Coturnix japonica: one gene and its partners. The protein of the gene in region 1 interacts with the protein of each later gene in a pairwise test. Links are inferred from orthologs where the notes say so. Each region holds a gene or a part of one and is shown in the gene's direction. Other genes may lie near its edges.

Evidence for each region.
Region 2: the proteins of TRIM23 (region 1) and TNFAIP3 interact in binary tests that used the Homo sapiens proteins (3 or more experiments, as listed by UniProt). The two-hybrid records come from large-scale screens. The link is inferred for Coturnix japonica from reciprocal best matches to the Homo sapiens genes TRIM23 and TNFAIP3.
Region 3: the proteins of TRIM23 (region 1) and ARHGEF3 interact in binary tests that used the Homo sapiens proteins (3 or more experiments, as listed by UniProt). The link is inferred for Coturnix japonica from reciprocal best matches to the Homo sapiens genes TRIM23 and ARHGEF3.
Region 4: the proteins of TRIM23 (region 1) and NEK6 interact in binary tests that used the Homo sapiens proteins (3 or more experiments, as listed by UniProt). The link is inferred for Coturnix japonica from reciprocal best matches to the Homo sapiens genes TRIM23 and NEK6.
Region 5: the proteins of TRIM23 (region 1) and cytochrome c oxidase subunit 5B, mitochondrial interact in binary tests that used the Homo sapiens proteins (3 or more experiments, as listed by UniProt). The two-hybrid records come from large-scale screens. The link is inferred for Coturnix japonica from reciprocal best matches to the Homo sapiens genes TRIM23 and COX5B.
Region 6: the proteins of TRIM23 (region 1) and TRIM29 interact in binary tests that used the Homo sapiens proteins (3 or more experiments, as listed by UniProt). The link is inferred for Coturnix japonica from reciprocal best matches to the Homo sapiens genes TRIM23 and TRIM29.
Region 7: the proteins of TRIM23 (region 1) and LGALS8 interact in binary tests that used the Homo sapiens proteins (3 or more experiments, as listed by UniProt). The link is inferred for Coturnix japonica from reciprocal best matches to the Homo sapiens genes TRIM23 and LGALS8.

Annotation. Positions count from the first base shown.
Region 1 is NC_029547.1:14,354,270-14,358,658, forward strand, and holds the start of TRIM23 (E3 ubiquitin-protein ligase TRIM23), read left to right. Parts: upstream 1-1,409; 5' UTR 1,410-1,447; coding exon 1,448-1,546; intron 1,547-1,903; coding exon 1,904-2,066; intron 2,067-4,389. Other genes in the region: TRAPPC13 (trafficking protein particle complex subunit 13), read right to left, coding at 1,023-1,068.
Region 2 is NC_029518.1:49,374,687-49,378,832, reverse strand, and holds the start of TNFAIP3 (tumor necrosis factor alpha-induced protein 3), read left to right. Parts: upstream 1-1,168; 5' UTR 1,169-1,543; intron 1,544-3,778; 5' UTR 3,779-3,794; coding exon 3,795-4,092; intron 4,093-4,146. UniProt on the Homo sapiens protein: Ubiquitin-editing enzyme that contains both ubiquitin ligase and deubiquitinase activities.
Region 3 is NC_029527.1:6,265,050-6,269,495, reverse strand, and holds the start of ARHGEF3 (rho guanine nucleotide exchange factor 3), read left to right. Parts: upstream 1-1,474; 5' UTR 1,475-1,568; coding exon 1,569-1,603; intron 1,604-4,446. UniProt on the Homo sapiens protein: Acts as a guanine nucleotide exchange factor (GEF) for RhoA and RhoB GTPases.
Region 4 is NC_029532.1:7,853,712-7,857,045, forward strand, and holds the end of NEK6 (serine/threonine-protein kinase Nek6), read left to right. Parts: intron 1-533; coding exon 534-644; 3' UTR 645-2,640; downstream 2,641-3,334. UniProt on the Homo sapiens protein: Protein kinase which plays an important role in mitotic cell cycle progression. Required for chromosome segregation at metaphase-anaphase transition, robust mitotic spindle formation and cytokinesis.
Region 5 is NC_029537.1:873,199-876,391, forward strand, and holds cytochrome c oxidase subunit 5B, mitochondrial, read left to right. Parts: upstream 1-1,367; 5' UTR 1,368-1,395; coding exon 1,396-1,489; intron 1,490-1,562; coding exon 1,563-1,636; intron 1,637-2,238; coding exon 2,239-2,338; intron 2,339-2,423; coding exon 2,424-2,536; 3' UTR 2,537-2,677; downstream 2,678-3,193. UniProt on the Homo sapiens protein: Component of the cytochrome c oxidase, the last enzyme in the mitochondrial electron transport chain which drives oxidative phosphorylation.
Region 6 is NC_029539.1:3,276,001-3,280,374, forward strand, and holds the start of TRIM29 (tripartite motif-containing protein 29), read left to right. Parts: upstream 1-1,506; 5' UTR 1,507-1,563; exon of another isoform or gene 1,564-1,643; 5' UTR 1,644-1,817; coding exon 1,818-2,678; intron 2,679-4,374.
Region 7 is NC_029518.1:33,916,967-33,921,187, reverse strand, and holds the start of LGALS8 (galectin-8), read left to right. Parts: upstream 1-1,325; 5' UTR 1,326-1,329; coding exon 1,330-1,533; intron 1,534-3,379; coding exon 3,380-3,468; intron 3,469-3,836; coding exon 3,837-4,047; intron 4,048-4,221.

The DNA of each region.
Region 1 (4,389 bases):
AAATTCCTTAATCATGTCATTGTCAATATTTTGTATAAAATAGGGAAAATGTAAAGATATTCAGATATCCTTCTGATTTCTATTTGCAAAATATACAGCCTGGGCAGTGTATCAAATTCAATACAAGCCCAAGGATCCTACTGATTTCTTGCAAGCAAACTGTCATGCCATACAACTTGTTCCTTTGTATAAGTTACTAACAAAATGTGCTGGTAGTAGCAGCTGACAGTATTTCCTGCACTCATGTTTTGGCTTAGACACTGTCTGTGCACATGCATGAAAAAGTGGTTGCTGATATGTGAATTACGGTTAATAGATCTGACTATAAGATGCTGAAAACCCTCCCAAAAAACACTGTGAAGAAAATAAACAAACAGAATATGGAGTCTAACATCATCTATGCACCTCCACTGCTTTATGTAGCTGAGCCATCTCACTTAAAATACACACGCAGATGAGGCTTCAGCTGTTCCCTACTCCACCTTAATAGCGATGCTTATTTCCAACAAGCACTGTTCAAGAGGAAGGTAGATTTACTTCCACTGACTGCAATCAGGGGCAGCTACATTCAGGGTTTTCAGTGCTTCAGTTCCTAACTCGATGGCACCAAAGTGCCTGTTGGCACAACCAGCTTCTTTATAGAAATCTGACCATTATTTTTGTTGCTATCAGCTCTAGCTCTGTGACCTCATGAGATCTACCAATTTTTTTCTCTCAATCAAGAATCTGAATCAAGAATACAAGCCGGCGGCTGCTCACTGAGGGTAAAAGCCATAAAAGGAAGAAAAATCAGGAAACTATAATGTTAAAACATGAAAAAAGAAAAATAAAATAAAAAAAAAAAAAGAAAAAAGTAAAAAAAAAAAGAAGTTAGAAGTGCTGAAGCCTGTGAAGATCCCGGTTCGCCAGGCCCGTGGCGCAGCCCTCCTCCTCCCACCCGTCGCTCCCGAGCCGTCCTGTGCCTCCTGTGCCTCAGGGGCAGCAGCTCGGCCCCGGGCCGCTCCCAGGCTCAGGGTCGGTACCTTTCAGTGCCAGCAGATGCTCCTGCTTGGGCTGGTTCACGTCCATGGTGCAGCCTGAGGCCCGAGCGCCGCAACCAGCCGAGAAGCGCGTAACCGCAGCGCGGGCAGAGCGAGCACCGCTGAACCCGGAAACAGCTGCTCCACACACGCCCCGTCATACACCGCCACGGCGCCACAAACTACAACCCCCACAGGGCCTTGCGCCCGCTCAGCCCACATCCCCCGTCCCGAGGAAGGCGGGTCCCGCGGGCAGCCCCGTGGCGGTGCATTCTGGGAGCTGTAGTTCTGGAGGGTGCCCAGGCGGCGGCCTCGCGGAGCACGACGGGAACTGCAGTTCCGCTCTCGGAGGAGGCGCAGGAGAGCGCATGCGCACACTGAGGAAGGGGTGCTGTCTGCGCGGCCCGCTGTGCTCCGCCCCGTCCAAGATGGCGGCCCTGGCTGTAAACAAGGCTGCGGCTGCGGCCGGGCCGGACGGCGGCCGCGGAGCTGGGAACAGCTGGGGCCCGACCGGCGCCGCCGTGAAGGTGAGGCGGGGCCGCTCGCTGCTCTCGAGCCGGTGCTCTGCTGTGCTGTGCTGTGGCGGAGGTGCCTGCTGGGCCCGGGAGGAGGCGTACCGAGCGCTCTGCAGGGTTTCCTCAGGCGGTGTGTGCCGCTGCGGTAGGGCCTCGCTGCTCCTCCATCGCACCGCGGGGCTCCGGTGAACGGCTGCGGGGCGGGAGGCGCTCGGGGAGGCCCCGGGTGGGGGCTGTGTCCCTGCTCCTCGCGGGAGGGCTGCTCCGTGCTGCTCCGTGCTGCTTCCGTTGTGTTTTTGTCTTGTTTCGTTGTCTTGTTTCCCCCCCCCCCCAGCCTGGAGACAGATGGTATCTTTTCTAAAATCGTAGGTTCTCGAGTGCGGAGTCTGTGAAGATGTGTTCTCTTTGCAAGGCGATAAGGTTCCTCGGCTGCTTCTGTGTGGCCATACTGTGTGCCATGACTGCCTGACCCGGCTTCCCCTTCACGGCAGGGCTGTCCGCTGTCCTTTTGATCGGCAAGTTACTGAATTGGGTAAGAGAGCTTAGGCCTGAATTTGTTAAGACCGAACAGAATGTTTAAAAGACCAGCAAGCCTTAACAGGAAATGTATAAAGGCTGATTTGAGTTTGTAGGCTGGCAGTGTGTGGTATCAGAATTTTTACTGTTGATAGTTTTGATTTGGCTGCAAATGGATGAGAAGGGTTTAGTACAGTAAAATGCATGGCTAGATAATGTGTGTGGATAGTACACAAAACCAAATAAGATGAATGTACTAGTTGTATTTGTTTTGCAGCATTCCTCCTGTACTCTGAAATGCTTTTTTTTTTTTTTTTTTTTTTTCCACTGAGAGGAGTGAGAGAGATCTCATTAAGATTAGGTAATAAGTTTTTATCTTCTCCTTGAATATAGGCTTGCAAACACCTTGTTTGTGAGCCTGTGTTTACAAAGTGACTGGTCTGTTTTAAATCCCTGTTTAATGATTCTTGAGAGGATATCAGTTTCCTGTTGTCCTAAACATTAAGTAGACCATACAGTTACGTAAGTTGTTTCTCTGTCAAACAAATTTGCCTGGATTCACAGTGGAATGATAACAAACCTGTTTGTAAAGTATATGGTAATTCTAAGGGTGATAGAACTTAAATTGGCAGGCTGTCTACAGGGATTTTATTACTTTAGAAATGTGTCTCAAAAGATCAGATATGGTGTTTATTCCATAGTGAGAGTTTATTTCAGGCATATGCTAGTGATTGTGCATTCAACATAGAGTTAAAGAAAGGACAAGTTACTAGAAGAATTTGTGTCAAGGTTAACTTGTGAACAGAGCTGTCTGCAGTAGCTTTGAATAGCACAGTGGATAAAAATATTAGGATGGCGGAGAATCCATGGAGCAGGAGATATCAAATGTAGTAATGCATGAAATAAATGTACAATTATCAAATCAGCATGAATACGTATTTACTTTGAAGTGATAGTCTGCTAGAGTTAAAGAAATATTAAATGGAAACAAACTCAGAAGAAACATCAGCATGATGTGAAAAAGTTTTGTTTGTGGTAGGAGAGGTGTGGATGGTATGTGATTGAAAGAGGATTGAAAGAAGTTTATTTTTTTATGTGACTGTACATCTATATGGGGTTTATGTATGTATGCTTTAATAGGGAGCGTGTGTTAGTCTTGCTGTTGTGAAACTTCAGCGTGAGCCAGCTGCTTGTATCTTGTAAATGGGGAGCAGAGCTTTTTATTGTAAGGGGGCGTTGTCACTTTGTGGCTCTTACTGTGTGATTTCCGCCTGACAATTGGAAGCATCCTACAGTAATTTTTTATTTTAGTTTCAGTTTTAACCAAAAATTAAGTTTCTTCGTCTTACGTAACAACTAGTGGTTTCTGATGGAACAATGTGAAGTGTTAAATTTGCAAGGCTTCTATAGAAAGGTAGTGGGAAGAAAAGCTGAAGCTTTCATTTCTAGGATAGTAGGCTTGCAGCTTATTGGATGGTTCTGGAAAGAAGAATGATATGTTGTGATCAGCTGTTGCTCAAAAAAAAAAAAAAAAAATTAGCAAAACAACCTGAGAGTCAAAGCACTTCTGTGAATGAAAATGTTTTGCCTGATGGTTTGAAGCAGAAGAGGGTCATGGCAACATTTCATCTAATCTGTTCTGTAAGTCCTCGGGGAATAGTAGAATCATAGAATCACCAAGGTTGGAAAAGACCTAAAAGGTCATCCAGTCCAATTGTTCACCCATTACCAATAGCTCCCACTAAACCATGTCCCTCAACACAACATCCAGTCTCCCAGGGTCTCCCCCAGGGTCCCAGGGTCGGTGACTCCACAACCTCCCTGGGCAGCCCATTCCAGTGTCTGACCACCCTTTCTGAGAAGCAATACTTAAGTCCAGCTTGAATCTCCCCTGCTGCAGCTTGAAATCATTCCCTCTAATCCTATCGCTAATGACATGAGAGGCCGACCCCCAGCTCACTACAACCTCCCTTCAGGAAGTTATAGAGAGCAATAAGGTCTCCCCTGAGCCTCCTCCAGGCTGAACATTCCCAGCTCCTTCAGCCTCTCCTCATACGGCCCCATTGTGCTCCGGACCCCTCACCAGCTTGGTTGCCCAGCTCTGAACATGTTCCAGGGCCTCAATGTCTTTCTTGCAGTGAGGTGCCCAAAACTGGACGAATGACATTGAGGATTTCAGGACATGCAAAGTCTGCAAGTAAAAATTGACAGTTTTACAAAGCCTTTTTTCTTCCAAATACTCAGGTTTGAGTTTGAGAGTAGACAAATAATTTCTAGCAGCCTTCTTTCTCTCTTCTGCTTCTTGCATGGGATTGGAGTTTTTCTGTGATTAGTTTTTT
Region 2 (4,146 bases), on another chromosome or scaffold:
CTTCTAATCAGATCACTTCAGTATCCCAGTACCTCAGCACACATCAGGGTTACAAAGAAAAACAACCAGGAACAGGGAATAGCAGGTTCTTTTTTAAACGGACTTCTCTGTTGCAGACAATATCCACTGGGTAAACCACACCCCGGGTGCAGCCCCAGTTATGTAAGTAATCACTCAGACCCAGTTCCTCCGGCACGCAGCCTCCTTGGATATCAGTCAGCCCTCAGACTATCCGTAAGCGCAGAGCCTTCCTATGTATTCCTAGGCAGAGATAGAAGGGCAGCGGACCACACAGAGCCAAACACAGGGCTTTAAGCAGTGAGAAGGAGCATGCCATCACAGAGTTGCACAGATGCCATGAGGGCACGAGCTGAGCCAGCTGATGCTAATGGAGGCAAGGAAGCTCAGGTATGAGCTCTTTCCAGGTCCGCCTGTTCTGTGACAGGCCTGATTTTAAGGTGTGGGGCAACTCCAGCTTCTCATCCAACCAGTGGGACCTGTGGGTGCTCTGGAATTGGCAGGCGTTCAGCATCTGGAGAAAGCCTCTTAGGACTGAAAAAAGACTTTTTTGTATTATATTTCTGCCTGCCTTCAGGTTACAAGTCTTGCAGGCAAGGAGCTGCCCATTTGCAATTGAGATCACATCTGTATGCTTTATTAAGAGGCCCTAAGTGCTTTATTCAGACTTTTTCCATTGCACAGGCTTTAGGGTGCTATTTAAAGGTGCGAATTACATGCCCGCAGCCATTAAAGGTATGAGATGCCACAACTGGCCAGTGGCTCCAGGATGAAGTCCTCCATAGCCTCAGCCTGTTCTGCCCCTTGCCTGCCTTGAGCAGGGCTGGATGAGAACCTGTTACAGGTTACCTGTTACCTGTTACAGGCTGAGGGTTTGTTTAGCCTGGAGAAGAGAAGGTTGTGGGGTGACCTCATTGCAGCCTTTCAATACCTGAAGGGAACTTACTCCCAGGAGGGGAGTAAACTCTTTGAAAGGGCTGACAGTAGCAGACACAGGGAAATGGTTTTAAGTTAAAAGAGGGAAGATTTAGGTTGGATGTTAGGGGGAAGTTCTTTACTAGGAGAGTGGTTAGGCCCTGGAACAGGCTGCCCAGGGAGGTTGTAAGCGGAGGGAGCGCTTCGGTGCCCCCTGCCGGCCCTACGTGGAGCCAGCGATGCCTGCGCTGCTGTTGTCACATGTCGGAAAGTCCCAAGCGCTGACGGTGGAAATCCCCGCTGGGGTTTTTTTTTGTTGTTGTCTTTTTTTTTTTTTTTTTTTTTTCCTGTCCATGCGCTGAAACAGAAAGGGGAAAGAAAACAAGAGGCTGAGCTCAGCCCTTCATTCCGCAGCGCAGGCAGCGGCGGCAGCAGCTCCGGAGAGGGGAGGGGGCGGCGGACGCGAGAGCGGCCAGGTCAACCCGGGCCTGCTGCCGGCTGGGTGTTGATGGCGGTCGAGCCTGACTGTGTGCCCCCGCCGCGGCCCAGCTGCTGAGCGGCATTTAGCGGCGGATCGAGCCCGCGCCTGGAGGAGCCCGCCGGGCGAGAGGTGAGCAATGCTCGGGCTGGGAGAGAGGCTGCCCGACTGTATTGTGGAGGTTTTGTTAGCAGTCCCGCGGCGAGCGGTGGAATTGTGCCCTCTGTTGACTGGCGGTGGGCCGGGGTTGCAGGTAGAGCGGGGGGCGGCCGGCTGCGAGGCCTGGCTGGGGCTGCTGCCACCCGCACCTCCGAGGGACGGAGGCTGGAGGCTGCAGGAGGCTTTTAGGCTCGTTGCAGTGCTCGGCCGGCAGGGGTTTACCATTGGCTTCTTCGGTTAGGGGACAGAGCTGGAGAACGGAACACAGGGTTCCCCAAGACCAGCATCTTCCATATTATGTGCTGGGGAACTATGTGCTGCACTGTTTGCAACTTTTTTCTTTTCCTGGGAGCTCAGTAATTACATGTTTAAAGGCCATGTAGGGTGGCCATGCAATGAAGCACAGTGTGGTGTTAGCAAGTACAGCCTTAATGTGCTTTGAGTTGTCAGCTTCTGTGGCTGCTGAGCTGCTTCATTGCTTTGTTTCTCATAGTCAGGGTTGCTCTGATGTTGCCTTGATTGATGTTTGAGGTAACTGCCACAGACAGTAGTTTCCACTTTTGGAGGGGAAAATGTGCCCGTAGAATAGAACAGAACATTGAATTTACGGTTCCAGTGAATGCTTCTGTAGACTCAGTACTTTTTGTTACCTAAAGCTGGAAATAACCACTTCAAGGGTCCGTGCCAGTAGTGATTAATCATCTGATAAGCCTTTATTTGGGTAAAAAAACCTCATTGACTCAATGACTCTACTTACGTAACTTAGGAATTCAGTACTCTGGCCGTCTCCGAGCAAAGCAGAGACGTGGTTATTAAAGAGGTTAATATGTTTATATGTCATTCCTCAATCCCATATTTAAATATATGGATGGTTTATGTGAGTGGCGTGTGTGAAAGTATATTGGTTAGGGATAGATGAGAAGCAGCTGTTAGGAAGCTTTCTCTTGTTTCTGGTCGCCCTATACTTGGCATGGCATGTATCAAGGTCTTGATTTATACGTATGACTTAGTATTTGTCCCTAAATTTGTAATCCTCACTCCTGCTGTGACCAACTGGATTCTAAATGTTAGGTATGCAGACCTTCATTTCGCTTGATAGAAATCTGGTTGTGTGAGCAGAGCAGCAGTCTACATGGACAGCACGTAGTCTCTCCATCTAAAAATAATAGCTCATGGTGTTACTGCAGTGCACAGGAGGGATGTGTGAATGTGGTCCCTGCATCTGGCTGCAGCGAGACACAGAGTTAGTGTGCTCAGAATGAGTATTTCAGACTACAGATACTTCGAGGTTATGGGGTTGGTTGGCTTTTTGTTGTTGTTCTTCCTGCTGTAGCCCATCAGGCCAGAGGTATGGAAGAAAGGGATGCAGGGCAGTAAATGCTGCTTGTCCCACTATGGAAAAATATTGGGGCTTTTGAGCCAAGTGGAAATGCTTTTTCAGCGATGTTGACTTACCGCTGAGTAATAGTGGCACCGCAGCTTGTTCCCCCACACATTGCACGAGCACCTCTGCAGTGCTATTCTGCTCACAAAACAGAAGGAGCCGCAAGAAGAGTAGCACAGGTCTGGCCCTGAGTGCTTGATCTGCCACTAATACCTCTTTTACCATCTCCAGCCAATGTAAGTATGGGACAGAATCTAGCACACTGTGTGATATCCAGGCTCTTTTTATATCATACCAGCATCACTTATCAGAATGCATGAGCTGTGGAAATCTGAAATGGACATTATCTGTTTTTTTGGCATGTCATCAAAACAAGAGTTTGGAATGTGCTGAAAGTTCAGCAGGTTCATATGGTGGTTACAGTGTGCAATTATCAATTAGTCAAGTTTCCAAGATAGTTTTCCCTTCCCTTGATCTTGCCTTTTTCTTTCCTTGCTTTCATTTAAGTGCCTTTTTTTTGTACAATGATGTAATCGTCTTAGTGAAGAATGAACTCTCTTCAGGAGTTCAATGAATGATCACAATAAATGGGTGGAATAAGCTCTTCAGTAGTTATCTCTGTGTAATGCAGAGAGGCTGACAGAGGTAAATGTTAACAATAAGAACTGGTATAAGTCTCAGTGGATGTCATTCGCTCTGTGTACTAACAGGCAAAACAGCAACTAGAATTCCACACATGGAAGTGTATTCTCAGTCTGTGCAAACCTTGCAGAGCAAGGGCAATTAACAAGTCAGTAAGAGAACACTTTTCTTTTTCATTTCAGATTTTTGTCTAGGAACATGGCTGGCCAGCACATCCTTCCTCAGGCTTTGTATCAGAGCAATATGCTGAAAGCTGTGAAGATTAGAGAGAGGACACCTGAAGATCTGGTCAAACCCCCCAGTGGAATAATTCACCACTTCAGGACTATGCACAGATACACTATAGAAATGTTCAGAATGTGCCAGTTTTGCCCTCAATTCCGGGAAACGCTTCAGAAAGCCCTGACTGACCAAGCCACCCAGACTTCACTGGAGCGCCACAGGAAACTGAACTGGTGTATGGAGGTCAGGAGACTCGTGCCTTTGAAAACTAATGGTAAGTTGTGAGCAGGTCTTTGAACTCATTTTAAAGTGGGTAATACAGATCTGC
Region 3 (4,446 bases), on another chromosome or scaffold:
CTAAGTCCTTTATAACTGCTCTGTCCGCACCCCTTTTTAGCAATGCTGTGTTTCTCAGGTGATTCAGCCGGTTTCAGTGTGGCTGATTATGAAACCAGATACTGACAGTGTGAGTGAGATGCATTAGAGTTGTTTGGTATTTCACAAGATTTTTTTTAAAGTCACAAGAGCACAACTAACTAGACGTGCAAATGGCATAAACGAGTGATATTATCCTCATTTTGCATGAGAAATTGATAGGAACTAGGTAGGAAATAGATCTGCAGAGGTGAGGCTGATGTCAGATGAGGGTAGAACACAGGGATCTGTGTCTTAGTCCTGAGCCATAATGGCGCTTCTTCCAGCAGCCTGTAGGCATTCAGCATGTGGTTAGAGATTGCAGCTTCTGCTATTTTGCAACAACCCACCTGGTAGTACAGTCACCTGGGCACTGTTCCGTGCCCCAGCCAAGTTCTGTGACAGGCGAGCACAGCAGAGATGCAGGAAGAACTGCAGGAGGAGGAGAGAGGTTTGGGGTGGATGTGAGCCATGAATGTTATTTCCTCTGCAGTAGGGGAACTGAAGGGTGCTAGGGCAGCATTGTGACCATACACAGATTTGGCAGGGGCCTATTTCAAGCCCCACTTCCAGAGGAACTTTTGCTTGATGTGAGCCTGGTTTGTAAGCATTGCTCCTTGATCATTTTGGTGAAACGAGTTACATCATACCCATTTCAGAATAATTAGGAGTGAGAATAGCATTAAGCCTGCTTGCCTTTAAATGTCTGATACAGGGAATGTTCCCATAAAAGTTGTTAGTCATCAGCAGAAAGGAAACCGCCTGCTCTCGGTTGTAGCTTTTGCAAATATGCCAAGGTGTGAGTTCGGTGTTAGGAAGGAAACCACCATCTCTGTGCAGGATAACAGTTGGACAACACGCAGCCACGGAGGGTGGAGTGAGAAGAATAGTTACGGGGATCAGGAAAGCAGGGCAGGATTCTCACTGCTGAACTTGACCCTCTGCTTAGGCTGCCTTCATGGCTGGGAAATGTGTCTTTGAACATCTCTGTCCTCACCATAATTTGGCTTCTTTAATAACAGGCGGGCAGTACTGCTGGAAGATTTAGGTTGGATGTTAGGGGGAAGTTCTTCACTAGGAGAGTGGTTAGGCCCTGGAACAGGCTGCCCAGGGAGGTTGTGGATGCCCCGTCCTTGGAGGTGTTCAAGGCCAGGTTGGACGGGGCCATGGGCAACCTGATGTAGTAAAGGTGTATGTTTGGTGGCCCTGCCAGGCAGGGGGGTTGGAACTACATGATCCTTGAGGTCCCTTCCAACCCGGGTCACTCTGTGATTCTGTGATTCTGTTACCACCTGTGAGTTGCTGTTCCGCTGCCTTTAGCGGCTCTATCGCCGTCAGTGCTGGGTGGAGGCGGGGAGCAGCGCTGCGGGGCGGCTCTGTGCTGTGGAGCGGGGCGGGCTCTGGGGGCGGCACAAGCGTCTCCTCCCAGCTCCGCCCTGACAGCCCCGCGTCCTGCCCGCTCCTTTACTCGGCACCGAGTCCCGGCCGGGCTGTCAGCTCTGCGAGCCGCGATGCCGGGAGCCGAGGAAGAGCCGGAATGTGAGCGGTAAGGTGACTCTATCAGAGCGGGGGAGGCACCTGGGGGCTGCATTCAGCGGCTGCGTTGTGCTTCGTGGCGGAGGGGGGGAGGCACGGGGGGTCTCACTCCCACCGAGGCCGCTGTGTGGGCGGCGTTGCGGGGCCGTGTGTGTGCAGGCGTTAACTTTCCGAGATGTTTTTAGTCAATGTTTATTATCCAGTTATACCGAACAAAACGCCTTACTGCTCCGAACTGAACTGTCTTTGCAGTTTCCTATCAGAGCCGAGTGTACTGCTGTGTAGGGTGCTCGTGACCCCCACACCTCGCCTTACAGTGCTTTGCCTTGCCCTGCCCTGTTGGTTTTATCAGTCTCTTGGTTTTATTTATTTAGTTATTTATTATATCTTGGAGAGATAAGCATTGGGAGCTCACTAAGGTATGACAGAGCTTTGTGCTTTGAGGAACTGCTCTGGTCCTTAACGACCATAACGAAATTCAGAGCAGTGTTGGAAGAAAAGGTTGAAAGAGGCAGAAGTACTTGGATTTGCTGCACAAAGAGAAGTGTTGACATTTTGATGTTTATGTCAGTGCTTATTGGCTGGCAAAAGGTGTTCTCCATCTGTCCAGGTCCTACAAGGCTCTTTGGTTCTCCAGCCAGTTGTAGCTCTCGAGATGTTGAGGGCCTGCTGTGGATTTCAGCTGCCTGAGTCATGTGGCTTCAGGAATGAAGAAATGGCCACGGCCTGTAGGTCTGTCAGAGCATGGAGAGCTGCTGTGATGTGTGTGGCTGGAAAACAGAGGACTCACTAAGGATACTGCAGTAATCTATGGTCTGCTGTCAACACTACGGTAGTGTGCTTAAAAAAAGGTAAAATAGCTGGAATTCTGAACTAAATAGCTGCGCATCACATAGCTGTGATGGCCTGAATGTAACAGAGAGGATGTAAAAACAAACAGCAAGTGTTTTCTCGTCTAGAGCTGAAGATGGGGTGATGTGCTGTGGAACTATAAGCCCTAACAGCTGTGAACAACACAAAGTGATAAACTGGAAATGTAAACAACCAGTTGACTTGCAGGTGCTGAATCCTGTGCTGAGCCCAGCTGGGAGGACTGCAGCAGTTGGTGGCTGCTGGGTTGGGCTGTTAACATCTAAGCACTGCTACAAGCAGATTTATTTAGTTCTTCCTGATCACATGCATGACCGGTAGCCTCAGGCTTCCAAACCTGAGAGTACACTGCAGTAGGGCTGAGTTACCTGGAAGTGGTTTGTGTCTCAGACAGGCTGCTGCTGAAGGAGGCCCTTTTTCCATTAAAAGACTGGCTTTTGTTTTTCATGTCCAGCTGTTACAAATACAAACAGAAACTTTACATACGTAGAAAGGTGCCCTGTGCTGTTATTGATTCTCCTTTCTGCATAGGTTTCACTGTCCTTGCAGCCGTGCCGTACCTTTGTAGCTCTGTGGGTGTAATCAGTGTGGTACAACTTGCCTTCACAAAGGTTTGCTGGTTTTTGTAGCACTGAAGCTTGCAGAAACTTGGAAAGCTGGCAGTCTTTATCAGGACTTGTGTGATTTCAGCAGAGCCGAGAGCAGCTGCTGTGCTGGTATCATCTCTCAGGCATTCTACTTGTACTTCTATTTACTTTTAGTGCTTCAGCATTTGCCTACAATAAATTTTCAGGAAAAACAACATAACTAGGAGAAGAGCACACCCGTTGTGCTTATCTCCAGCATATTAGGAATTCTACTGCTTTTATTTCGTGTGCCCACTTAGTGTTGTCCCAGAAGGTTCTGTCTCGACTGTCACCTTTGTTCTGAAGATGACAAAGACCAGTTGTTCAGGCAGTGCATGCATTAAGGGTGACTGACAGCTTCTGCTTGTACATGGCTTTAACTGAAGGATCCTGACCTGCAGTTGGAGAGGTGAGAGGCATGTATGGATGCACACAGCCCAGCATTTAGAGCCATCAGCCTCTGCTGTGTGCATCGTCAACCCTGAACCTGGGATTGCCCTGTGGATTGCAAGGTTCTTGTCTGAGTCAAAGCTTTGAAATAATGTGCCTACATTAATAGCTGCTATCAAAATTAGCTTCTTGTTGATGCTCCACAGATACATAATTAATATCCTGGAACAAGTTCCCTCAAGCAAGTTGACTACTGTGTGGAAAGATAATCTTGCAAGCTTTCTCATGTAGGTTTGAATGTGAAGCATGCTTAGCAACATGGCTGAAAAACACTGAAGGCTGAAAAGGTAATTTTAGAGCAATGCAGCTTTTGCCTGGTGTTAATAAATGTGTTAAATAGTAAAAAGAAAAAGCAAATCAACTTGAGAAACTTCAGTGACGTGGAACTGTGCAGCAATCTTGAATGAGACAATCATGATTCTGAAGATAATAGGCTGACAGGGTGATAGTTTTGATGCTGGGGAGAAGATCTGACGCCCTTCCAGGCAGACGAAATTTGAACATGTTACAGTTCCCTGGAAATGATCGCTCTGATTAAAGGGAAAAGTTGTGCTTATATCAACCACTCAGCTTTTATTCTCAGTTAAAACGAGAACAGACCGTTTTATTGTGAGAGGCGGTAATATTTTGGAAGGAAGAGAAGAACATGAAAACATGTGGCAGCAGTTGTGCTGCTTTGACTCTGGGCCACTGCGCACTGAATGCGTTCTTTCTTTTTCCCTCGATCTGCTGTTACTATGGGAAAAAATACTTTCCTTCAATACAAGCTTCAAAAAATTCCTCTTCCTTTTGTTTAATAAATTGTCCCTTAAATTTGTTTAGTGTTGCTAAAATAGTTTTGCTATCTGTATGGCTTTGTAACGTTTACTATTCTTTACAGGAACACCATGTAGTTAATTCTGGGAAT
Region 4 (3,334 bases), on another chromosome or scaffold:
GACCCTGCACTCGGGAAGCAGAGCTGCGGCCTCATTTGGGTGCATTCAGTAATGCAGATGAACTGTGTGCTTGATAGCTGTAGGGTCATGCTTTTAATTACCATTAAAATAATTGGCACTGTGGCTACTGGGAGGATGTGAGAAGATCAGAGGCTCAAGGCTGTTTCTCCCAATGCCTCGGGGGTACGAGCAGCTTTCAGTGTCTGTATAATTAAAAGCTACAATCTTTCATGTGCACAATAAAGAGGGTAGGGAGGTGGGGGGTACTTGAGCCCTTCTGCATTTTATTTATTAAACATAATCAATGGCCGGTTTCTCTCCTTCACAGAGGTTCTCGAGGAAGTGCTGGGGTCTGACAGCCATGTTCTGGCATCCTGTCTTAAGATGTGTACAGATTAACTGTGGTTCTTCCGTAGAGGTGGGGTGGAAAGAAGTGAGCAGCATCAGCCACAACAGCTCCCATCTGGGGAACCCCAGATCCTCGGCCAGTAAGAAATGATCCATTCTTGTTCCAATGTCTTTCTGTCTTTCAGCTCCGGGAGCTGGTCAGCATGTGCATATATCCTGATCCGGATCAAAGACCCGACATTGGTTACGTGCACCAAATAGCAAAACAAATGCATGTCTGGACCTCCAGCACCTGAACCATCTGCAGACACTCTCAAAAGCCAGCACAGCTTAGTCTTACTTGAATTTTTTTTCTCAGATGAAACCGACTGGTGCCCAGTCAGCGGGTGAGGGGAGGAGCGGCTTGTAGCGAGATGCTCCCCTATCTCTGCAGGTTATTTGACAAGGACTCTCACAAGGTGGTCATGCTTTAAAGTGAAGATTCTGTGAGGTATTGCAAGTGATTTTTTTTTTTTTTTTTTTTAAGCCAATAAGATGTTACAGGTGTAGATCATTTAAGGGTCTTTTCTTAAACTGTCGTGTGTAATCTAGGATAGATGATATTAACTGGGGTGTCAGTGTTGGGCACACCTCCTCTATCTTAACTGTAATGTGAAATATTGAAATAATTCCTTCAGTGAAATCACTTTATACTAATGTAAGAATTTCAGTAGATTTTGTGTTGTTTGTATAACTGCTACTTTGCCTCTTCCGCAAATGGTTTATAGCAAATTTCAGTTTTTACTTTGTGTATTTTAAAGCATCCATTTATGTGTTTTTATTAATTCCCTCCTTCAGACTTAGAACTGGGAGGGGTTTGGGGGGGGTGGGAGGGGGTAGAAATGCATTTGTTTCATGACTTTTCTTTTTTCTTTTTTAACTGAAAACTTAAAGTGAGAGTATTTTGCCGCTGCGTTGGGCTGTTAATTCAGCCCCTGAGCTGAATGCAGTGTACAGCTGGGGAGGAAAACCCACAAATCCTGTGCAAACCACCCCACAGAAGCGTGCTTCATGGGGCCTTTCTGAGCACCTGTTTGTCCCGAGTCGTGTGAGACTGCAGGTTGTTGGAAAAGCAGCATTTCTTTCCCCCAGCTGGGTTTTTGGGAAGATGCCTGTACACATTCAGTAGTATATTAGGTACCAGTAGGTAGAACTTTAAGCAAAGCAGTGTTTTAAACTATTTGAGACGTACAGAAACCAAGTCAGTCAAAGGCTGTGTATCGTATTCCACACAAGGATCAGCCCCATCTATTTAACTAACTGTGAAAGCTGATTTAGAATGTGAATTTTTATAAAAATCTCAAGCTGATTAGGAGGGGTCGTCATCTTGGAATTAAAACTTTAAACCAACTAAATTCATTCATTGAATCAATGGTTTGTTTCATTACTGCCAGTGACAAACATTGCCTGCTTCAGGAGCGGCCCCACCTCACAGTGCAGTGGTTGTGCTGGGGGGCAGCAGTGCAGAGCAGTGCAGAGCAGTGCAGGTGGCACAGAGTGGAAGCAGCGCTGCTTTGCTGCTGCTGAGCTGCAGTCTGTGTGCTGCAGTCCCAGGGCAGCCTCTGCCTCTTTTGGTTTTCTTCAAGAAATGAATAAAAACCTGAACTTTTTTTTTTTTTTTTCCTTCAATAAGGTTAGGGTTAGAAGGTTATATACTCATATATGCTTTTAGTGGATTTTTAACTTGATTTTTCTCTACTTAAAGGAAAATTGCAGTGCCGTCTTCAACTACTTTCCACCAAATTTTGTGTATTTCATAGGGTAGCAAGGAAAGCTACTAATTGCTATGAATGATGTCTGTTGGTATCATTAATGCAAGGTGCCATGTTATCGTGGCTTCTCAGCAGGAAGCTGAGCCTGCTGCTCTCCTGAGAGCCTGAGGAAATTCAAATCAGCACAAGAATGGAGGAGAGGCGGCACGTTGCTTCCCACATTCCCAAGCCAACTTGTTTAATTTAGAGCCATCTTCTTTAGCAATTCTTAGGTGTAAGACTCCAGACTGTCACCTTTACACTGCAGGTTTCCTTTAAGCCATGGCAGCAGTGGGCTGGGCTGGCTGTGCTGGTGGTGGTGTACCCAGCTCTGCCCTCTGGGGAGCACAGCTCAAACCACAGCAGTGCCTCGAGCGGCTCCGCTCACTGTCTTGCTACATAAAATCTATTAGTGCCTATAAGTAAATGTATTTCAAAAGGTAATTTTTTTTTTCAATTGTGCATTTTTAGATAAATAAAAAAAAATGATTTACAAAATAAACACCGTTGTTTAAAAAAGAAAAAAAGGTTCAGTATTAAAGGAAAAAAATTAAAACAGGTCAGAATATGTGTGAGGTTTGGCAACAGCTTTCATGGCATGTAGATACCTGATGCAAAGTCCTGCTCTCATAAAATGGGCGACATAAACCATCATCTCTTGTCCTGATGGAAAACCTCACCAGGGGAACAGCTCAGCTGAAGGTGCTTTCCCTGGAGGGCACTGCAGGCTGGTGAGAGTGAGGGCTGCCACCACAAAACCTTTCGAGGCTGAACGTTACCTTCAGCCTAACCCTTTATAGGCGGATTTTCAGCCAGGTTTTTCCTTCTTAGGATTACATGGTAAGTGTAAAACACAAAATGAGTTTATCTCAAATACGAGCTCAGGATTCCTGGACATGTCCCAGTGGAGGTTTGCAGAAAACCTCAGGTAAGTAACAAGACAGTTAAGGCTTTTTAGTTGTCTTTTCCTCTCTGATGTAATGTAGAAATAAGAGCATTTCATACGAGGTAGAGGCTGGATCTGCTTGATAGCCTGTCCCTATCTACAAAAAACAGGGAAGAATGGATGTAAACATCACAATACAGCTCTTAATACCCTGTGATAATTAAAGCTGAAGCAGTTCTGCACAGACTCCATGTTTACAACAGGTAAGAACGGAAAAGCAGCAAAAGAAATGAGCACCCCATGAAACACT
Region 5 (3,193 bases), on another chromosome or scaffold:
CCAGCTGATTGGGGATATGGGGCCGCCCCTGCCCCCCCCCCTTTACCACCCCCTGCCCTCCTCCCTTGGCACGCGCCCACATTGCTGCCTCCATCTTCCCTCTCTTCTCCTCCACATCCCCTTTATTTCTCCCATATTTTCCTCTCCTCCTCCCATATTTTCCCTTTTCTTCCCCAATATTTTCCTCTTTTTCCCCTAAATTGCCTCTTTTCCTCTCCAAACTTTCTCTTCCCCTCCAATAGTTTCTCTTCTTCCCCCATATTTTCCCTTCTTTTCCAATACTTCCTATTCTTTCCTCTTCATTTTCTCTTTTTCCTCCATATTCTCTCTCCTTCCCCCATATTTCTTCTTCTTCTTCAGCATTTTCTCACTTATATCCCCATATTTCCCACTTATATCCCAATATTTCCCATTTACATCCAATATTTCCCTCTCATACCCCAATATTTCCTATTTATATCCCAATATTTCCTATTTATATCCCAATATTTCCCACTTATAACCCAGCATTTCCCATTTACATTCAATATTTCCCATTTATATCCCGTATTTCCCACTTATACCCCAGTATATCCCATTATATCCCAGTATATCCCATTATACCCCATTATATCCCATTATATCCCATTATATCCCATTATATCCCATATATCCCATTATATCCCAGTATATCCCATTATACCCCATTATATCCCATATATATCCCATATTTCTCACCTATACCCCAAGATATCTCAGTTATACCCCAATGTTTCCCATTTACATTCAATATTTCCCATTTATATCCCAGTATTTTCCATTTACCCCCATATTTCCCACTTATATCCAATATTTCCCCATTTTCTGCCCCTTTTCCCCCATTTCCCCCCATTTCCCCCTATTTTCCCCCAATTTTGCCCCTTTTCCCCCATTTCCTTTTATTTCCTCCATTTTTCTACCATTTCTGCCCCTTTTCCTCCATTTTTCTACCATTTTCTGCTCCATTTCCCCCATTTTCCCCCTATTTCCCCCATTTTCCCCCCTATCCCCACTCATCACACCCCAAATCAATCTCCATTTCACCCTATGTCCATTAATCCCCCCCCTGCAGTTAATTAACCCCCCCATATTAATTAACCCCCCTCCCCCCGCAGCCATCGATCTGTACTGCAATATTAACGAAGGGCCGCATTAATGCGGCTCGGATCAGCGGGGTTTGGCACCGCCGCCTTATGGGCCCGGCGTGGCCGCTGGTGCAGGCCCCGTTGCTATGGCCGTATCTCCATCCCCCCGTTGCTAAGGGCCGCATCCCCCCCCAACCCGCCCTTTGAGGCCCCGCCCTTCCGGTTTTAAACTTCCGCTTCCGGCTCGCAACTTCCGCTTCCTCCTCCATCTCCGGAAGTGCTGAGTGCCGCCATGGCGTCAAGGTTACTGCGGGTGGGCGCGGCGCTGCGGCTTCTGCCCGCCGCCACCGGGAGGAGCGTGATCAGCCGGCACTATGCAGCGCCCGGTAAGGACGGGACGGGATGGGGATGGGATGGGATGGGATGGATGGATGGAGGCACTGAGCGTCTGCCCCGCAGGTGACCTGGCCACGGATGAGGAGCAGGCGACGGGACTGGAGCGGAAAGTGATGGAGGCGATGAATAAAGGACTGGTGAGTGTATGGGGTATATGGGGTATATGGGGTATATGGGGTATATGGGGTATATGGGGTATATGGGGTATATGGGGTATATGGGATGGGATGGAGATGGGGATGGGATGTATGGGATGGGATATTATGGGATAGATGGGATATTATGGGATGGATGGATGGGGTATATGGGATGGATGGGATATATGGGATGGGATACTATGGGATACAATGGGATACTATGGGATACTATGGGATACAATGGGATACTATGGGATACTATGGGATACTATGGGATACTATGGGATGGGATGGATGGGATGGGATGGGATATTATGGGATGGGATGGGATATTATGGGATGGGATGGGATGGGATGGGATGGGATATTATGGGATGGATGGGGATGGGATGGGATGGATAGGATGGGATGGGATGGGATATTATGGGATGGATGGGATTGGATGTTATGGGGTGGATGGGATGGATGGGAGGATATTATGGGATGGATGGGGGGTATTATGGGATGGATGGAGGGTATTATGGGATGAGTTGGGATGGGGATGGGATGGGATGTGGCTGCCGTTGTTGGGGTGGGCCTCCCTCTGACCCCTCCCTCCCCAGGACCCCTGGAGCATGTTCCGGCCGAAGCGCTACGCGGGCACCAAGGAGGATCCCAACCTTGTGCCGTCCATCACCAATAAACGCATCGTGGGCTGCGTCTGTGAGTGGCCCCATGTGGCCCCATATGGCCCCTTATCTCCCCCCCCCACTTTATCTCCCTCCCACCCCCTGTTCTCTCTCCTCAGGTGAAGAGGACAACAGCTGCGTCATCTGGTTCTGGCTGCACAAGGGGGAGGCGCAGCGCTGCCCGTCCTGCGGCTCCCACTACAAACTCATCCCCCACGAGCTGCCACACTGAGCCCACAGGGAGCCCCCCCAGTGGGGTCCTGGGCTGTGAGACCCCCCCCAGCAGCCGTCTGGTGTTTGGAAGCTGAGCCACTGCAGCTCGTTCTGCTGTGTCCCCCCCCAACTTATAGAGAAAAAGAATTGAGTGTGGAAACACTGCGTGCTGTGTGTGTGTGTTGGGGGGCGGCAATGGGGTGGGGGGGGATCGGGGGAGGCTGAGTGTGGGGTGATGGGGGGTAACCCCTCCCCATGGGGGCTCCCTGTGGGTTGGGGCTGTTAAGGAACGCCCCATGGGGGTGGGCAGGATGATCAGGCACATGATGGGGTTGTGTTGGGTGCCCATCCTGCCCCACAGACACACAATGGGGTTGTATTGGGGTCCCCATCCCACCCCACAGACACACAATGGGGTTGTATTGGGGTCCCCATCCCGCCCCACAGACACACAATGGGGTTCCATTGGGGTCCCCATCCCCCCCATCCTTCTCACTGTCCCCATAGCTGTGGCTGGGCACAGACAGGGGCTGCGTTGTGGCCCCTCCCTTGGTGGGCGCTGTGTGTTGGGACCCATCCCCCCCTTTCTGAGCCCCCCCGGGTGCCCCCCATTGCTGTACCCACAGGGCAGCCCCCATCCCACGGCTGTGTGCTGTGTAGAGCTGGCACCCAGGTG
Region 6 (4,374 bases), on another chromosome or scaffold:
TAGTAAAAAGGGCTGAATAAGGTTCTAAGTTCAGTTGAATAATTTTTTCATTCCTCTTCCCTTTCATTTTTGCATGGACAAAGCCCTTATTAACCTTATCTATAAGACAGGCGCTTCCTGGGTATCTCATATCAGATCCAAAACGCAGGCTGTTCCTGTTGGGGTTGCACCTCCACTTCCTCCACACCTAAAAGAGAGCTGCAAAACACAGACCTGGATTCTTCCTCTGCTGCTTAGCACCCTTCCAATAGTGGTTTTGCTACAGATTCCCAATGAGAAATGATTACAGCAAAGAAAATAATCTCATACTCAACCAGTGACACCATCCTACCCAGCAAAAATCAAATTAAGTACAAATCAAATACTGGGCAGGGTTAATTTCCAGCCTGCATGTTAATCTCAGAGCAATCTCACTGAAGTTCAGAGTATAATCTATGCTACATTGATGTGAAATGGGTGTAGGGTCCACCTCCTTCTTTTGAACTTGATGGAATTCAGCAGGGCTGATAAAGGGCCTTTTTCTTCTGAAATCTGTCATTCCAGTTGGCTGAATAAAAACCATTATGGGGTGTGGACTTCTCTCTTTCTTTTTTTTTTCCTTTCCCTTAATGAAAGGAGCGTTTCATGAGCTTTGAAATAATTTTGCTGTTTCTCCCTTCCGCTGTGCCCTCTCAATGGGGAAATGGAAAATGAAGGGGAAGCCAGGGAAGAGAAGAAGGAAAACTACCAAAGTTGCTTGATATGACACTTGAATATCTTTCTTTTGGATTGCAATATGGCTAATGGAGGGAGAAAGGCATATGTTTAAAACTCCCTTGCAGTTCTTTCTTCTTGCAAGAAGCATTTTGTCCATCTATCTGCAATATACTTAACCTTTCAGATATGTCTCTCAGTTCAGTGCATGTTTATGGGAGGAACACTTGTGTTGCACTGAGAACATGCAATGAAATGGGCATTGGGTGGGCTCTTCTATTTGTCACATAAGTTGTGTTTGCATGGCCTGCAGGAGAACACAGCTCCTGGCTGACTTATATTTCGGGTCAGCTGTGTTCTGGTTGGAAAACATTGGTTGTTTCCAGCTGTAGATGGATGGATCTGACACAAACCCAACATCATCATCAAAATAAAGATAATAGGGGTCTTTTAAGCCTAGTATTATCCCCGTGTTTCCCCTCCCTGTTCTATTGAATGCAGCAAGCCCTCGGGGGAACCCGGTTTAAGAATGCTTTATTCTAGGCATTCATTTGAATGATGACCATAATTATTTCTGTACATGTGTATGACCCAGTTAACAAACCCATCCTCGGCATCCCATGGTCTCTCTGACCCTGCCCATCTCAGCAAGGAGGTAACCTCAGCTCCTGGCAAACTTATTTTTGAAACAAGCGGTCGAACTGGTTACTGCATCTTAATGAAAATCATTTCTTTCTTTCTTTTTTTTTTCTTCCTGAGCATTTCTATGTATATAAACAGCCCTTCCTCCCAAACCTGGTTAGACAAGAATGTTGCTGGGTGTGGACCGCCTTGTATAATTAACTGCACAGCTGTGGCTTCTGATCCCTGGTAACGTCTGTTCCTTTCTTTCCTTCTTTCTCCCTGCCTCTACCTAGCATTATCCAGAGCTCATCTCCTCCTCCTTGCAGGAGCTCCAGGTGCGTCATTTGGGCAGCAGCTTCCCTGCATTCCCCCGTCATTCCTCATTGGGACGGCCAGCAGACAGGCACACGGCCACAGCTGCTTCCAGGGGTCGGGGGAACAGCACTGGGGGGACAGGACAGAGCCGAGGAGCTAAGAAGCCAACCTGCTTTGGTTTGACGATGGAAACAGGGAGTGCAGCAAGGACAAATGGCACTGCTGGGAAGCCAGAGGATGTGAAGAGTCCGTCCGCCCCCAAGAAGGATGAAGAAGTGAAGAAGACGACGAATCCTAGCGGAGGCGAGAAAGAGCCAATAAAGGGCACTGGAGGTACCTCCCTGGAGACCGGACAAATCAAGAGCTCTCTCTTCTCTGGGAGTGACTGGAAGAGGCCCATCATTCAGTTTGTGGAGTCGTCCGATGAGAAGAGATCGACCTACTTCAGCATGGACTCGACAGACTCTAAGAAGATGCCATTTGCCAGCGGACAGATAGGAGACATGAGGAGAACCCCACTCTCCTTTGCAGACAAGGGCGACCTCAGGAAGTCCCTCTTCAACTTGGATTCCAAAAAGAGCTTCTTGCCTAACGAAGGGGAAGGGAGGAAGCCCTTGTTCTCCAGTGGGCAGATAGGGGACATGAAGAAACCATCCATGCCTCTGGTGGAGACGGGAGACCTGAGAAGACCCACCTTCAACAAGGTGCCTGACAGAGCAGCTGGCTCACGGCCCAGGGTGAAGCTGGAGGATGTGCTGTGCGATTCCTGCATCGATAACAAGCAAAAGGCCGTCAAGTCATGTTTGGTGTGCCAGGCTTCCTTCTGCGAGCTGCATCTCAAGCCTCATCTGGAGGGAGCAGCTTTCCGGGACCATCAGCTCCTCGACCCCATCAGGGACTTCGAAGCAAGAAAATGCCCTGTGCATGGGAAGACCATGGAGCTGTTCTGTCAGACAGACCAGATGTGTATCTGCTACCTCTGCATGTTCCAGGAGCATAAGAACCACAGCACAGTGACGGTGGAGATCGAGAAAGCAGGCAAAGAGGTAACATAACACTTCTCTAATTGCTTTTTTTCCCCCCCTAATTATCTTTCCAATGGAACTCAATGTCACTACAGAGCTTTTTCTCTCTATCCTATGGCCTCTCCTAAAATCATGGCTGCAATATAATCCTGGGATGCAAGGGAGGTGGTTGGGAAGGCATACAGATCAGTACTGCTCAAGGTTGTGGTTACAACAGAAAACTGTGATCTCAGCTCCCCGGTGTGAGCTTCTGCTTTCTTGTTTGTATTTTCTGTTATGGAGATAATGATGTTGAGCCCCACCTGTAGGAAAAGTCTTTTGAAGCTTAGATGATGAAAAATACAACTTAGTGCAAACATAGAGCGATTAATTTTTTCCCTGAAGTGTTACTGCAGTCGTCTCAAAAGATGGACATCTAAAGAGATGGGACTGGCGTGTGAACCAGTGCTCTCTCTAATGAAAGTCTTCCACTTTTGTTTGCCTGAATTCTCACTCAAGTTTGCTTTCTGGGTGGATGCACCATTATCCCACTTGCTCCAGTGAATGTCAGGGTCCCACTACATTCAGTTCTCCTCAGGCTGGAGACCTTGTGGTCTATCCAGACAGGGAAGGAGAGATGACAGAAAGGAGACCCATAAAGCGGTCACATAAAACAATTTGCCTAAAGTTACAGCCAGCCCATGGCAGGAGCTGGAAGGGCACCCAGACCTGCTGGATCCCAGCCTTAATCACAGCCCAAGAGCTCTGATGTGGTGAACAGGCACGTACAAGTACCCACTGTTGGAAATTCTTGAGTTACACGTAATTCAGAAGAACAGTTTACAGTGCTAAGAATGTTTAACTCATAAAGCTGGAGGAACATCTCTTTTTTTAGAGCTTTTCTGTCTCTCCTTGCACAGTTTTTGGTGTTCTCATGCAATGCCATCTTCGCCTTGCAGCCTGACTGGAACCAGACAAAGCTTCTCCCTATATTTAGATGAACCTACACCACCTTGATTGTACGTAGGCAAGCAGAGCTGGGTGGAGGAACCTTCACCTAGGATTTAAATGGTGTTTGATTTCTCTCCCAGAGTGTTCGTGCTGTTCTGGTAAGGTCTGTGCTTGCCCTGTGCTGATTCTGCTGCTGCTAAGCCCACAGGATTTAGGGCTTTATCAATGAATCATACACATGTGCAAGTTTCTCCTGACAAGGAGCCTTGGTCGTGTTGTAACTTGAGGGAGTATTCACTCAGACAAAACCAATTAGCAGGAAAGCTGTTGCTTACAAATGTTTATTCCTAGCCCTGAACTATTCTCCATTGGTGGAGCCTTAGCAAGAACCACAGGGAGGGACGAGCGCTGCCAGGTCCCTTGTGTGCATCACCTCTTCTTTTCAAGTCTTGCAAATTGACTGAGCTGGAAGACGACCACAAATTGGTGGAGTGGCAAAGCCTTTCTTTATGGAAAGAGTGAGCAAAAAACCCCACAGTGGGGGAACCCCAACCCCATCGCTGCTGCTGTGGCATCACTTGGCACTCAGCAGGGTAGCTGTAATGCAATAAGGTGTATTATACTCATGTTCTTTCCATACTGCAGAATTAATGCAGTTTACAGCCCCTTCCATGAGGCTGATACAGGCCTGTAGGGAGGAAAGCTGCTGTATTGTGCTGGTGGGAAACTGAGGAACAGCTGTCGTGCCTTCTATGGAATGAGGTAACTGCTGCACCTTGCAGACAGA
Region 7 (4,221 bases), on another chromosome or scaffold:
GAAGAAAAGTAGTTCAGCCCCTAGCACTTACTGCCAGGTTACACAGCTCTGGAAATGAAAATGGCTATTTATTTTGGAAAAACATTTCTGTACCATATCTCTTTTCATGGGCTGCAGGTAGGGGTCAGCTGCAAATGGAGAGTAATTAAGGCCCAGATGAGGGTTATTTGTGTTGCCCCATGCAGTAGTGATTTTTATACAGGGTTCTGTTTCAGTATACACAATGTCAGGAAGCAGCTGGTAAAAAGCTGTGTACCTTGTGTGCAGTATCGCTTGCTAGAATAGCACGATACTTCTTCAGTGGGTTTTGGCTTCTTCTCCCAGGCAATAAACAGGACCTGAGAAAATGGCCACAAGTTGTGCTAGAAGAGGTTTAGATTAAACATAAGGAAAAACTTTTTCTCTCAAAGAGTGGTCAGGCACTGGAATGGCTGCCCAGGGAGGTGGTGGAGTTGCTGTCCCTGGCAGTGTTCAAGAGGCATCTGGATGAGGAGCTACAAGATATGGTTTAGTAGCTTGTTGTAGCAATGGTGATGGGAGGATAGTTGGACTAGGTGATCTTGCAGGTCCTTTCCAACCTTGTGATTCAGTGATGCTTAAACCAAGCATTTAGCTTTGATGTTTCAAAACATGATCAAATTTCTTGGAAATATATTTAAAGTTATACTTTGAAGAGTTTAACTTCATGTAGTTCTACTTTTGTTTTTCTGATTAAAACTTTTGGCTTTTCAAAGGGTCCACGCTTTGGAGCAGCCAGATCAGTGAACATCTGAATACGCTCTAAGAGTTGTCACACAGGACTGGCTGACTTGAACTGGAGGAGGGAAGATGATGTCCTTGGATGGACTGCAGAAGAATATCAGTAACCCGGTAACTCTTATGTCAACAACTCCTCCCCCAGGAAATGGAACTTTGCTCTTTAATGTCAGAAATTAGCAGGGCATTCCTATGGCTCAGAGTGTTACTGAGAGCTCTTGATGTTGCTTGGGTGTGTGAGGAAAATCCTCATAGGTGGCTGTAGTATTTCTCTACTTGTACTCTGCAGCAGTGGCCTTGCACTGGCATGAGAAATGGGCTGGAGCTCTACTTCTCATTGTTCTTTAAAAACAGTTCTTTTGAGCCTTCAGGAGATGGTTATTTGTCATACTTCTAGCACAGAATATTAAAAAAAAAGCAACACCACTAGGTCTGTATAGAATCTCTGTGGAATAAACAGTGCTACGTAACTGTACAGGACTTCCTTTTCTCTTGTAGTTCTGCACTGATACAGTCCAGTGCCCTCAAGTGCATCTGACTGTTCAGTTCCACTGCTTGTTTGTTGCTTGTGAAATGGATAGACTAATAGATGATGGGGAAATGGCTTTAGGTTTCTTCACAAGAATCCATCTGGGGGAAGAAGGAAGGATGTGTGGAGATGGAAATAGAGCTGTAAGGACTGAATTGCAAAAGGGAGATGTGAAGAGGATCAGTAAATGTACAGGTGACATTGTCTGTGTAAGGAGAAGAGGAGGAGTTCAGCAAAACTGGTTGACTGTAAGTGGTCTGGTGAATATGGTGGGTGACAAAACCAAGCTGGAGAACATAAAGGAGTATTATTGGGGCTTAGGCATCAAGAGCCTGGGGGAGAATAAGAGCAATTATTTGGAGACAGAGGTGTGAAAAGTTGTTCCAGGCTCCAGACAAAGTCTGCAAATTGGTCTTTGAGGCCTTTCAAACTGAGTTAGTGTTGGCTAGTTGGCTTCATGGGGAACTTCTGGAGGTTTGTGAGAGAGTTGGGATGGAATCAAGTAGTGGCACAAGCATTATTCTTAATAGATGAGTTAAAATTAGCACAGCTCTTGAGACGTGAAGAAATGACAAGCACATTCTGTAATGATGGTCATTAGGTCTGTAGTATTACGCCCAGGAAATGCTCTATTATGGCCATGCAGATTCCATGACTGAGCTTCTGGACAAGAGATGGCTGACTTTTTTCTCTATTAAATGTATCCTTGCTACAGTGTTAAATAACAGTGTATACAGTGTATAACAGTGTACACAGTATACAGTGTATAACAGTGTATACAGTGTATAAATAACTTTGACCCACTGGAGTATTCAAATCCCAGTGTTCCTGGGCTGTGTCTGTGTGTTTCTTATTGGTTCATCTCTGGAGACCGAACCAGTAACTTATACCCTGCTGTGATTCTCAAAGCTACTGCCCCTCAGGAGCAAGCAGTGTGTTTAAACTGCATGATGTGCAGAAAATATGCAGAATGTATTCTTTCTTACGTATTATTATTTGGATGAAATTGAGTGTCTTTTGTACAGCTTGTAGACTATGGAACTAAGCTCCTACACTACTGCTAGTAAGTAAATTGATTCAATCAGTTTATTTGTTATTTCACTTATACTGCCTAATTTTATGTTCTCATCCTCCTCTACTGCAGTTGGCTAAGCCAGTAAAATCCACAAGTCTTTAAACAGTTTGGTCAGTTTCAAGCTTATACTTGTGAAGTAGGTCTGTATTATCTCTAATGTAAAAGGTGACTGCAAAGAAAGGTGCAATATGTGGGTAGCTGAGAAGGGAAGGAAAGGGAGAAGATGGAAATGAACAACGCTCTGGATTTAGGAGATTTTTTTTTTGTCATTCCCATTCTGTGTAATCAGTGATAGAACTAGAGGGAATGGTTTTAAGCTGCGCCAGGGGAGATTCAGGCTGGACATTAGGAAGTATTACTTCTCGGAAAGGGTAGTCAGGCATTGGAATGCACTGCCCAGGGAGGTGGTGGAGTCACCAACCATGGGAGTATTCAAGAAACGTTTGGATGTTGTGTTGAGGGATATGATTTAGCCAGGAAGTATTGGTAATGGCTGGACTGGATGATCTTCTAGGTCTTTTCCAACCCTGATAATTCTGTGATTCTGTGATACTCTCCACCAGAGTTGCTGCTTTTCCAATCACAGTTTTTCAAAAAAGAGCAAGCAAAGAGACAGCAGCTGTAGTCTAGTGTTAAAAAACTGGTGCAAGATGCCTCCTGCAACCAGCAGTAGTTAGTCCTTGACAATGACCTAATTTGAAGGGGAATTCTATATTAAAAGTGGAGCAGTAAAATATTGCCATTATTCTTTAGAGAGCTAGGCATGAAGACTGTAAATGTTTAGCTTTAATCTTATCTGAGAAGGCTGATCTTCAGTGATGAAAATCTTGGTTTTTCCTTCTCTTCGTGGCAGATATTTAATGCTTTACTAGTGTTTCATTTAAATGGAATACTAGTTGTCTTTCTTTTAATGTGCTAGAGCATCACTTAATTATCAAAAATATTGTTTAAAAAACTATATATTTATTTTGCCTCTGTCACAAATGGTTATTTCTGTCTTTTTTCCCTCCTTCTTCTAGGTCATTCCCTATGTCGGGACGATTCTTGGTGGCATTGTTCCTGGAGAGCTGATTGTGATACATGGGAATGTTCCTGATGATGCAGACAGGTAGTAACTACAGTATCACTTTGTGAATTAACATAAGGTGAACAAGCCTGTAATTAAGAAAATGTTTCCACGTGTCCTGTGATGGATGGCAGACAAAGACTTCATTTTTAGATGAAGCAATAGTGTCACAGAGGATACAACCTTAAGTGGTTTATGAAAGTTTTGTGATGAAAACTGGAGGATAAACTGGTTTTTTGCTTTCCATTGATCTTCTTCCATGGTTTTGCTTTGTCTGCTTTGGCATTATTTTTCTGTCATGTCATTCCACATGGCACATGCATATTTATCTGAAGAGGTTATCAGTTGAACTTGTATATGATTTCTTGACAGAATGAACTAAATGCGATTTGTTTTATTTTTATGTTTAGGTTCCAGGTGGATTTACAGTGTGGCAGCAGCATAAAGCCTCGAGCTGATGTGGCCTTTCATTTTAACCCTCGCTTCAAATGGTCTGGCTGCATTGTTTGCAACACCCTGGAGAGGGAAAAATGGGGCTGGGAAGAAATCACTTATGATATGCCTTTTGAAAAAGGAAAGCCATTTGAGATTGTCATCATGATTTTAAAGGATAAATTCCAGGTGAGTTTGGGTTAATTCTTGGTCCATTTGTTAGGCCAATAAAAGAGAGGGATTTAGCATACGCACAATATAATCAGAAGCCTTGGTTTCTTTGTTAACTAGGCATGGTTTAATTATAGAAAAGTTTAGGAGTTTTTTTAAAGAGATGCTAAGTAAATCACACCTCTCATTTTG